Coturnix japonica: one gene and its partner. The protein of the gene in region 1 binds, or shares a complex with, the protein of each later gene. Links are inferred from orthologs where the notes say so. Each region holds a gene or a part of one and is shown on either strand. Other genes may lie near its edges. The genes, in order: AAK1 and PDZ and LIM domain protein 5.

Evidence for each region.
Region 2: the proteins of AAK1 (region 1) and PDZ and LIM domain protein 5 are in contact, whole or in part, in a crystal structure (PDB 9F6S), measured with the Homo sapiens proteins. The link is inferred for Coturnix japonica from reciprocal best matches to the Homo sapiens genes AAK1 and PDLIM5. Residues at the interface, in NP_055726.4 of Homo sapiens: Asp956, Leu958, Ile959, Asp960, Leu961; in NP_006448.5 of Homo sapiens: Ala12, Pro13, Trp14, Gly15, Phe16, Arg17, Leu18, Phe24, Gln67, Ile70, Lys71.

The regions. Positions count from the first base shown.
Region 1 is NC_029537.1:1,354,996-1,358,802, forward strand, and holds part of AAK1 (AP2-associated protein kinase 1), read left to right. Parts: intron 1-89; coding exon 90-171; intron 172-1,673; coding exon 1,674-1,806; intron 1,807-2,530; coding exon 2,531-2,634; intron 2,635-3,022; coding exon 3,023-3,102; intron 3,103-3,807.
Region 2 is NC_029519.1:52,281,599-52,285,975, forward strand, and holds the start of PDZ and LIM domain protein 5, read left to right. Parts: upstream 1-1,312; 5' UTR 1,313-1,425; intron 1,426-2,165; exon of another isoform or gene 2,166-2,268; intron 2,269-2,655; exon of another isoform or gene 2,656-2,930; intron 2,931-3,012; exon of another isoform or gene 3,013-3,035; intron 3,036-3,339; exon of another isoform or gene 3,340-3,363; intron 3,364-3,372; exon of another isoform or gene 3,373-3,477; intron 3,478-3,534; exon of another isoform or gene 3,535-3,557; intron 3,558-3,713; 5' UTR 3,714-3,753; coding exon 3,754-3,849; intron 3,850-4,377. UniProt on the Homo sapiens protein: May play an important role in the heart development by scaffolding PKC to the Z-disk region. May play a role in the regulation of cardiomyocyte expansion. Isoforms lacking the LIM domains may negatively modulate the scaffolding activity of isoform 1.

The DNA of each region.
Region 1 (3,807 bases):
AGTATGAATTTTGAACTATTTTAAATGTGGCATACTGAAAGCTCATCTGATAACCACATTAAACTCACCAATAGATCTTTTTGCTGCAGGTACACTACGTTATCTTACAGAGCACCAGAAATGGTCAACCTGTATAGTGGCAAACTTATCACTACAAAAGCAGACATATGGGTATGTATAAAGCCCACTTAACATCACACAACCAGATTGCAGTTTGCTTTTGTTGTCCTAACAACAGGATAACTTTCTGGCTGGGGATAGCCTGATTTCCATAGGGTTGGATAGTTTCTGAGTAGAGTTCCTCTGCTTGATGTTTCTGAGTTACTGCTAACAGGCTGGCTTCTAGGTAAGACACGATTGGTGCTTTGCATGCTGCTTTTCATGTGGTTTTAATATAGAGATGTATGAAATTTCAGAATTGATCAGTGCAAACATGATTTTGTATCATAAAACAGAAGATTCATGGTGTTGTAACTTGTGCTTCTATTGAGGAAGGGTATGAAACCGATGTTACTAGGCAGAAGATGGGAAATGGAGGAAAAAAAGGCCTCCCCTCAGGAATAATAGTATGTTTCTGGGCAGTGTAATGCAGCCCAGAGTCATCAAACCTGGCCAAGGACCAGGCTTTTGTACTGCTGTTTCTAATGAGGAGTGAATCTTGCTATGTTTTCTATATTGAGAGAAAAATGCAGCTGTGGTGTAATCCCTTACTAGATAACCTAACAATGAAAGGATGGTAGGCTTCCTCTTAATTGGGACGAAGAGCCTTTGTTGATTGTGGTGAAGTGGCAATTCAGCAAATAGGATGTGTTAAAAATGCTAATTTGGGGTGTGTTTGTATGGTTTTTGAAGCCCTGAGCTAGGAAGCAGCAGTGTAAGGAGGGTGTTTATGGATCCTGGATAGTTATGTTTGCATATACAAGAGGGAAAATTGCTGGCGTGGCATCAGCTGGAAAGAGTCCTCTGTCTTATCTGTGAGCTCAGCCAAGGGTCAGGAACACAGCAGCTCCTATGGGGAACTGAGTTCAGCGGGAGGTTTGTAGTCCTAGGCCCCAGACCAGCGTTGGGTCTCTTGCCTTGCTGAGCCCCAGAGAGGGGAGGGCACAGCTGTAACAGCATGAAAAGACTGTCAGGGCCTCAGAGGCAGCTAGAGGAGAACCCTGGGTTTGTACCCTTTGTGATCATGTAGAGAGGTAGAGACAGAGGCTCAAGCTACTCTCTTCTTCTTGGCCTTGAAGGAGTTTTGTTCTGTTCATTTGCTGCATTCCCATACAAGAATACAGTGATGTGCAGAGTACAGCCTTAGCTTAAGGCCTCTTGCAGTGGTTTGCCCTGCTTGGCACCTTCCTTTCCCCAAAACTCATGAGGTTCTTTTCAATTGGAGTACAATTTAATTATCAAATCCTATAACAAAAGCCACAAGCTGATGGTGAGTTGTTCTGCATTAGGAAATGTGTTCCCCTGCTCCCTCTGGGATGGCAGCAGTGTTTCATAATTAAGGATGATGGATGCCATTTGGTTTCCCTATTAATTTTGCTTTGTATGTGGGGAGCAGGAAAAGTTTTTGTGCGTCTACATGCAGTAGCATACACCAATGTAAGGTCTATGTAGATTTGGGGATCTTGTTGCATCTTTCAGTTAATTAACTCACATGCTCTGCTTTTTGTCTTCAGGCCCTCGGCTGTTTGCTGTACAAGCTGTGTTATTTCACTTTGCCATTTGGGGAGAGTCAGGTGGCAATCTGTGATGGCAACTTCACCATTCCAGATAACTCTCGGCATTCACAGGACATGCACTGCCTCATCCGTGAGTTCCTGCAGCAGAACAGTTGGTGTTTCTTGCTGTAATAGGCTTGCTTTGCACACAGGAATGGATGTAATGATTTCCTCATAGCTTGGGACCAGCAGGGATTTGTTGAAAGGCAGGAAAAGAGAAAACCTTGGTTTAAGAGTCCTATGTTAACTTAGAAATAAGCCTATTTATGCAAAAACATGTTTCTCCAGTACCAAATCTCTTTGGATAAAGAACTGAGAAGAACCACGGTGACTTAGACCAGTGATAAGAATTTGTCTTATGTGAATTGGGAAACAGAACTGAAATGATTTATAAATAACCTACTGCCTAGAGTGAATGTGTAATTAAGGGTACAACGTGTTACTCTTGGCAGAGCTGGGGAAGCTCTCTCATGAGTACAGCATATTTTTTTTAAACTCTTTTTCTAGCCATGACCCTGAGTGACAGTTATTTTCTAAGCACCCTGGTATGTTCTTTGCTCATATAAAGGCAGTGGTCTGTGTGTCTTCCTGCCCCACACACTCACTAGGGCTGTGTCAACCTCTTTTCCTGTGGGCTCACTTGGAAATGCAGAAGTCAAACCCTACACCATTCCCTAAGCAGTTTGTATTTCCCCTTCTTTAGAGCCTGCAATAGCAGCCAGGAGATACTCATAGGAGTGTTTAAAAAATATATATATATTTCCTAGACCATCCTTGTATGAATTTGTTCCATTTTTCTGATGTATCTTTTAAAGGGTATATGCTTGAGCCAGACCCTGATAAGAGACCTGATATTTATCAGGTCTCCTACTTTGCATTCAAACTGGCAAAGAAGGAATGTCCAGTCCAGAATGTCCAGGTGAGTAGTGAAGGAGTGGTCTGATGTTGTGTGAGGAGTTGGGGGTGGCAGCTGCTAAATATTGAGGATGCTGCTGTGTTATATTGATTGCTTGGTACTGTCCTTCCCAGATTCTTTTTGAATACCCAACATTTGCAATCTGAACACAAAGCTTCATAGCACATGTAGAATATGCTTAGAAAGCTGAACCATATCTTTTTCCTCATGAAATGCTCACCCAAGCTCCTCTCATGCCATTAACAAGGAGGGGTTTGTCATTTGCCCATCATGAGGAATAATTGCTTTGGGGATTCTTCAACCTCCAAATTTCATCGCTGTGCTTTTGCAAATGATTTCTGACTGTTTTCCGCCCACAAAGTACTAAACTCAGTGTTTTTGGGATCTGCAGAACTCTCCTATCCCTGCTAAACTCCCAGACCCAGTCAAAGCAAGTGAAGCTGCAGCAAAGAAGAGTCAACCAAAGGCCAGGTAACCACACCTTCATTACAGTTAGCTCTCTTTGACTGTGTGTTATCTCTCTGCTTTCTGTTAGAAAAGATGCTTGGCATATTTAGCTGCTTCTTCTTGGGCTTACGTTTATATATTGAGACAAACACTGCAGTCCTGAGGCTTTGCTTCAATGACATAAATATCCATTGATCTGAAAGACAGAAGATGCAGATGCTGGAAATTTTTGTGTGAGAGGAGGGAGGGATTTGGGCAATACTCAGCATGACTCAACAGCTAGGCTTTGTCCTGAAGACATTGCTTGACAGCAGCAGTTGAGGTTCATGCACTTAAATGAATCTACTGCGTCATCTATTCTAAGGCAGTACCCAGAGTACTTGAGATAGCAGGGAGACTGCAGTGGGCCTGGAATTGGCCCAGAGTACAAGGCGGCTGAAAAATTGCATTAGGAACAATTGCTGTTTGAATTTGGTCCTCAGCAGATGGTAACCTTACCCAGTAATTACTGTGTGCAATTGCTGCAGTTTCTGCAAGAGCTGTGTAATTTCTTTGGCCAGCACAATCTCCATCTGAATAGCCTGATGTGTGGGGGAACTGCTGTATTGTTGTGGTGGTTCTCCTGCCACTGCTTGCTCCTGTTTATATTACTGTAATGAAGTATATATATTTTGACGGACAAAACTTCTGCCTTATTTTACTGCAATGTGAGCATTATAGCAGTGGGCA
Region 2 (4,377 bases), on another chromosome or scaffold:
TGACCTAAAGCCCTTGTGACACCATGAAGAATCCCTGGGATGGGAAATTTTTACCTCTGCAAATTAAAACCATGTGAGAGTCTATGTGTGTAATGGGTTTTTTTCAGTTTTGCCTGATTAGAGACACTTAATAGGAAAAGAGCGGGGTAAGGAGGACAGATTTGCAGAAGAGTGGAACTAAACTGGCAGGGTCTTGGATGCTTTTGTTGCTGAGATGTGATGCGAGATTCACTCGGTTCAGTCAGCACAGCCAAGAAAATGGCCAGCTCAGTGGGGTGACATTAAATAGCTCCATTAAAGCTCACACAGCTAGGACTGGGAAGACAAGGGACAGTGCTACCCTGCTTCCAAGCAAGGACAGAAGGGCTAGGCAGGATGATGATAATGGACTGTATTTCATTTGCTGCGGATTTAGCAAAGGATTTAAAGCTTTCTTTTGCACTCTTCCTCCATAGCAAATCCGTGCTTGAAGACCAAATTGAAATTATCATGATTGCAGTCCCGCATGCTCTGCTAATGAGGTGTGTCTCTTTCACAACCACTTTTACTTGAGATCACTTCTAATGAACACAAAGAATAGAAGGGAATTCCAGGCCTCTCCCAGCTGTGATACAGCTAAACCTCCAAGGCAGTGCCGCTGCTCTCTACACTTCTTTCAGCTGCCAGGCCCCAGTTGTGCCTCAGATCAGTGGAGAATGGCAACACACTACCCAGCCAGCAGTCCTGCCTCTGGACCTGCTACTGCACAAGCCTCCCTTAATGGCTGATTTTTAAGTTACATTTATTCACAGTCACGTTACACCCATTTGTTCTTGTGCACTGTTTTGTAGCTCAAACATCTCTTCTGCCTTACTGCTGTTCACTGCTTTGATGCGTTTGGGGAGGCAATCATATCCTCATCACTCCACCTGGTACTCCATGGTAAATAAAGCAAAGTTCTACTCTTTTTGTAGGAGTTCCCTGTAGAATAGCTATGGCAGCCTACATGAGCTGCGCTGTAAGCTATGGCTGCCCCTTTGCACCAGTTTGAATAGCAGCTCCTTTCTTCAGGCTGAGGATAGAGGGGTGACGTGTGGACACTCAGCTTCCTCTCCCTCGTCACCCTGCGTTTCACAGGTGCACCTTTAGCAGGGTAAAGTAAAAAGAAAAAAGAAAAAGAAATGCATTTCCCTGTTAAAAAAAAATAGTGAATCGGGACTAATTCAGGTCCTCCCCAGAGCGGTGCGTTAGAGCGTTTCCAGCAGCCGGACAGCGGGCATCGCGCTCCGCCCTTGCCCCGTCCCCACCGCGCGGTGCCGGGCCGGGCCGTGCCGGGGGAGGAGCGGCGGGAGACGGAAGTGAAAACAAGAGCGAGGGACGGAGCTGCTGCCTGGCAGACGCGCCGCGGGTGTCTTTGTCGCTCCGCGCCCCGCAGCGCCGGGCTGGGTGAGTGAGTGAGCGGGGTTAGGCGGGGAGGGAGCGGGGAAGCCAGAAAGTTGGGGTGGGGCTCGAACTTCGTGCTGCTTCTCGTAACCTGTAAGTTGATTTTGTTGTAATTTAACTCCGTGTCTGGGTGCTGCTGGGCTGCCTGGGGAGCTCCCCGCAGGGTGCCGGACTCAGGTCGCTGCCTTGGGGCTGGAGCTTCGATCCGTGCCCCTCCAGGGCGGTGCGGCGGGGCTGGCGGCTCGGTGCTGTCACTGCCCCAAGGGCTGCCTCCTCCGCGGGTCCCCGTTGTTCCGCGTCCCCACGCGTGTTGACGGGCGTTTCTGCCAGGGTTTTGAAATTCCCCCTTCCAGAAGGCGACCCAGCGAATGTTTGGTGAAAGCCGATGGAAGTTGCGCAGTTCATCCGTGGTTGCTCAATTCCCCCTACACCAAGTGGGCTTGTGAGGTTTAGGTGCTGCACTCGCACTTTGAGAAGTGCAGTGAATTTCCGAGTGATCGCCTCCTTCCTGCTCCGTCCGGGAGGCTGGAGGTGCAGGGTTGCGGGGGTTAGAAAGGAGAGAGGAGAGGTGCTGGGAGCCACGCGAGGCATTTCACCAGGCAGTCTTTCTCCCCAGTTTGTAGCTGTTTCGAACGGGGCGGGGGAAACCATCCTTGTTTGAACGTAATTTCATCTTTTCCTGAAGCTGTTGTTGCAACTAGTTGTTACTTTTTTTTTTTTTTCCCCCCCTCTAAACTTGGTTATGAGACCCTTGAGCTCTTCTCAGAGGTAAAGCCGCCTGCCGGTGCCCGTGAACCGCACGTGTGTTGCTCGCTGTACACGGTGTGCTTTCCTGACGTCCCCAGGGTACGGTGACCTGTTGCTGTGGTGTCTTTCATTTAGTGGGAATGAGAAGAATTCTCCCTTTCATAAGGGAGGAAATCTGTGACTAATTAAAATCCCCTTTCAGAAGGAATTAGCGAAGGTTGTACTTCTCGCTTCAGTGGTGAGCAAGCCCCCTGAGAGCTCAAACTCGCTTGGTGATTTTTCTTCTTCTCAACCTCTCCAGCAGCAGGAAGGATGGGGGTGGGGAGGAGAGAGGGCGGTGGCATTTACCATGCTGAAGATTTTGGGGCCCTTTGAGCCAGTGTTGGGGGTAGAGCTGCCCTGGGAGCTGCCGAGGTCGCTCTGGTTTCCACACCTCGGGTGGCCCACTGGAATGGGTGCCTTTGCAAACCTTTCTGCCTCGAAACCTAAAATCCCCTTGCAGTGCACGGTGGCGTGCAGCCCACTCTCTGCAGTGTGCCAGTGGTGCCACCTTAAATGTCAGCACAGGAGCTGGAATCCGGCCGTGCCGCGGTGTAGGCTTACACCCTGCTCTGCTGTCTTCTTTGCCTTACTTCAACCATACCAAAATAGTCGGGATCCACTACCTAAGATGTCATTGTAATGTTACTTATCTGAGGTGAAACTGAAGCCCTTATCTGTGGCTTTGGGCAGCAATTAAGTGCGGAGGTTGCCTTTTAAAGGTAATTTGTTGCTTGCATTGGCGTGGAAGGGAGGGAGATGCTGGAGTTTTACTTTGCTTTTTTTTTTTTTTCCTTCTTCTTTCACCTCACTGTTACGATGTGGCTGTCAGTATTTTAATTTAATTTGCAGCTTTCATTTGAGACTTGGTGTTAAGATCCGTCTTGTCTGTAGCATTGTTCTGTCAATGTGATGTTAAGCTGTAAAACTAAAAGCCATAGGGTTTTTATTTTCTTCTGGTTAACTTCAAAGTTGTGACATTTTGACGTTGTTCTGAAACTGTCAAACCATAATGTGTTGAGAAACAAGTTCTGAGCTGATGACATGGCAGCATGTGATACTCATTTTATCAGAGACGAATGTGCCAGTGGTGCTAACTTCTTCCATACATGGATTTAAGGGATGCTATCAATTCATGCTTGTCTCAGCACTGAGGTTTGTTTGGTGTTTTCCTTTTTCCCCCACAGTATCCTGTCAGAAGTTTGACAAGTACTTCTTACTGTCTGCTTCTCTTGAGATGCAAATGTCTCAACACCAGAAATCTTGAAAGTAATAAGAGCATGTTGCCAGCTCCCTATGTTTCTTTCTAATCAATCGAGCACAGCAAAGCATGGGGAATGAAAGTATAAGTAATGGCAGACATCATGTAGATTTTTTGGCTGTCCTTATACTATCCTTATACTACGGGGAAGTGATGGGCTGTGTTTTTTTTTTTGTTTTTTTTTTTTGTTTGTTTGTTTTTTTAAACTTCTTTAATTTAAAGGTGTAATCCTCTTCTTCTGCAGGCATCAAGTCCTTGGCTTGGATCCTTGAATACTGAACACCATGAGCAACTACAGTGTATCTTTAGTCGGCCCGGCTCCTTGGGGTTTCAGGCTTCAAGGTGGCAAGGATTTCAACATGCCCCTGTCCATCTCTCGGGTGAGTGTGTTCTCCCCTCTGCTTGCATCTGGGTATCCATTGTGCTGCAGTCAGCCTGCTGCCTTCATCAGACTAAAAAGCCTTGAGGTACTGGGCTCAACTTGCCCCCGTGGCTTGGTGGCTAGGAAAATACATCTTTGTTGTCTGAAGGCGCCAAGAAAACGTACATCTTCATCTAAAATCGTTGCTTTATCTATGCAGCAAAACAGGAAGAAAGCACCCTTGAATTCCCCTCCCTGCTCACCCTCAGAAAGTTGTGACATGAGGAAGGAGGCTGGCAGGAAATGGGCAATTTTCTGCCTATGCAGTTCACATGGCAGGCGGCAGGGGAGAATCACTCATGTTCCCATTGTTTATTCAGCAGCTCTTAACAGTTGGAGGATCTTTTGGTGCCTGTTCTTTCAAATCCCACTATTTGCAATAAGCTGCGCTTAAGAACTGGGAGTTATAAACAGCAATTTGTGGATATGTCCCTCGGTGAAAATGCTGCTTTCTCAGTTGGTTTTGTTTTGTTTTCAGCAAGTGCTC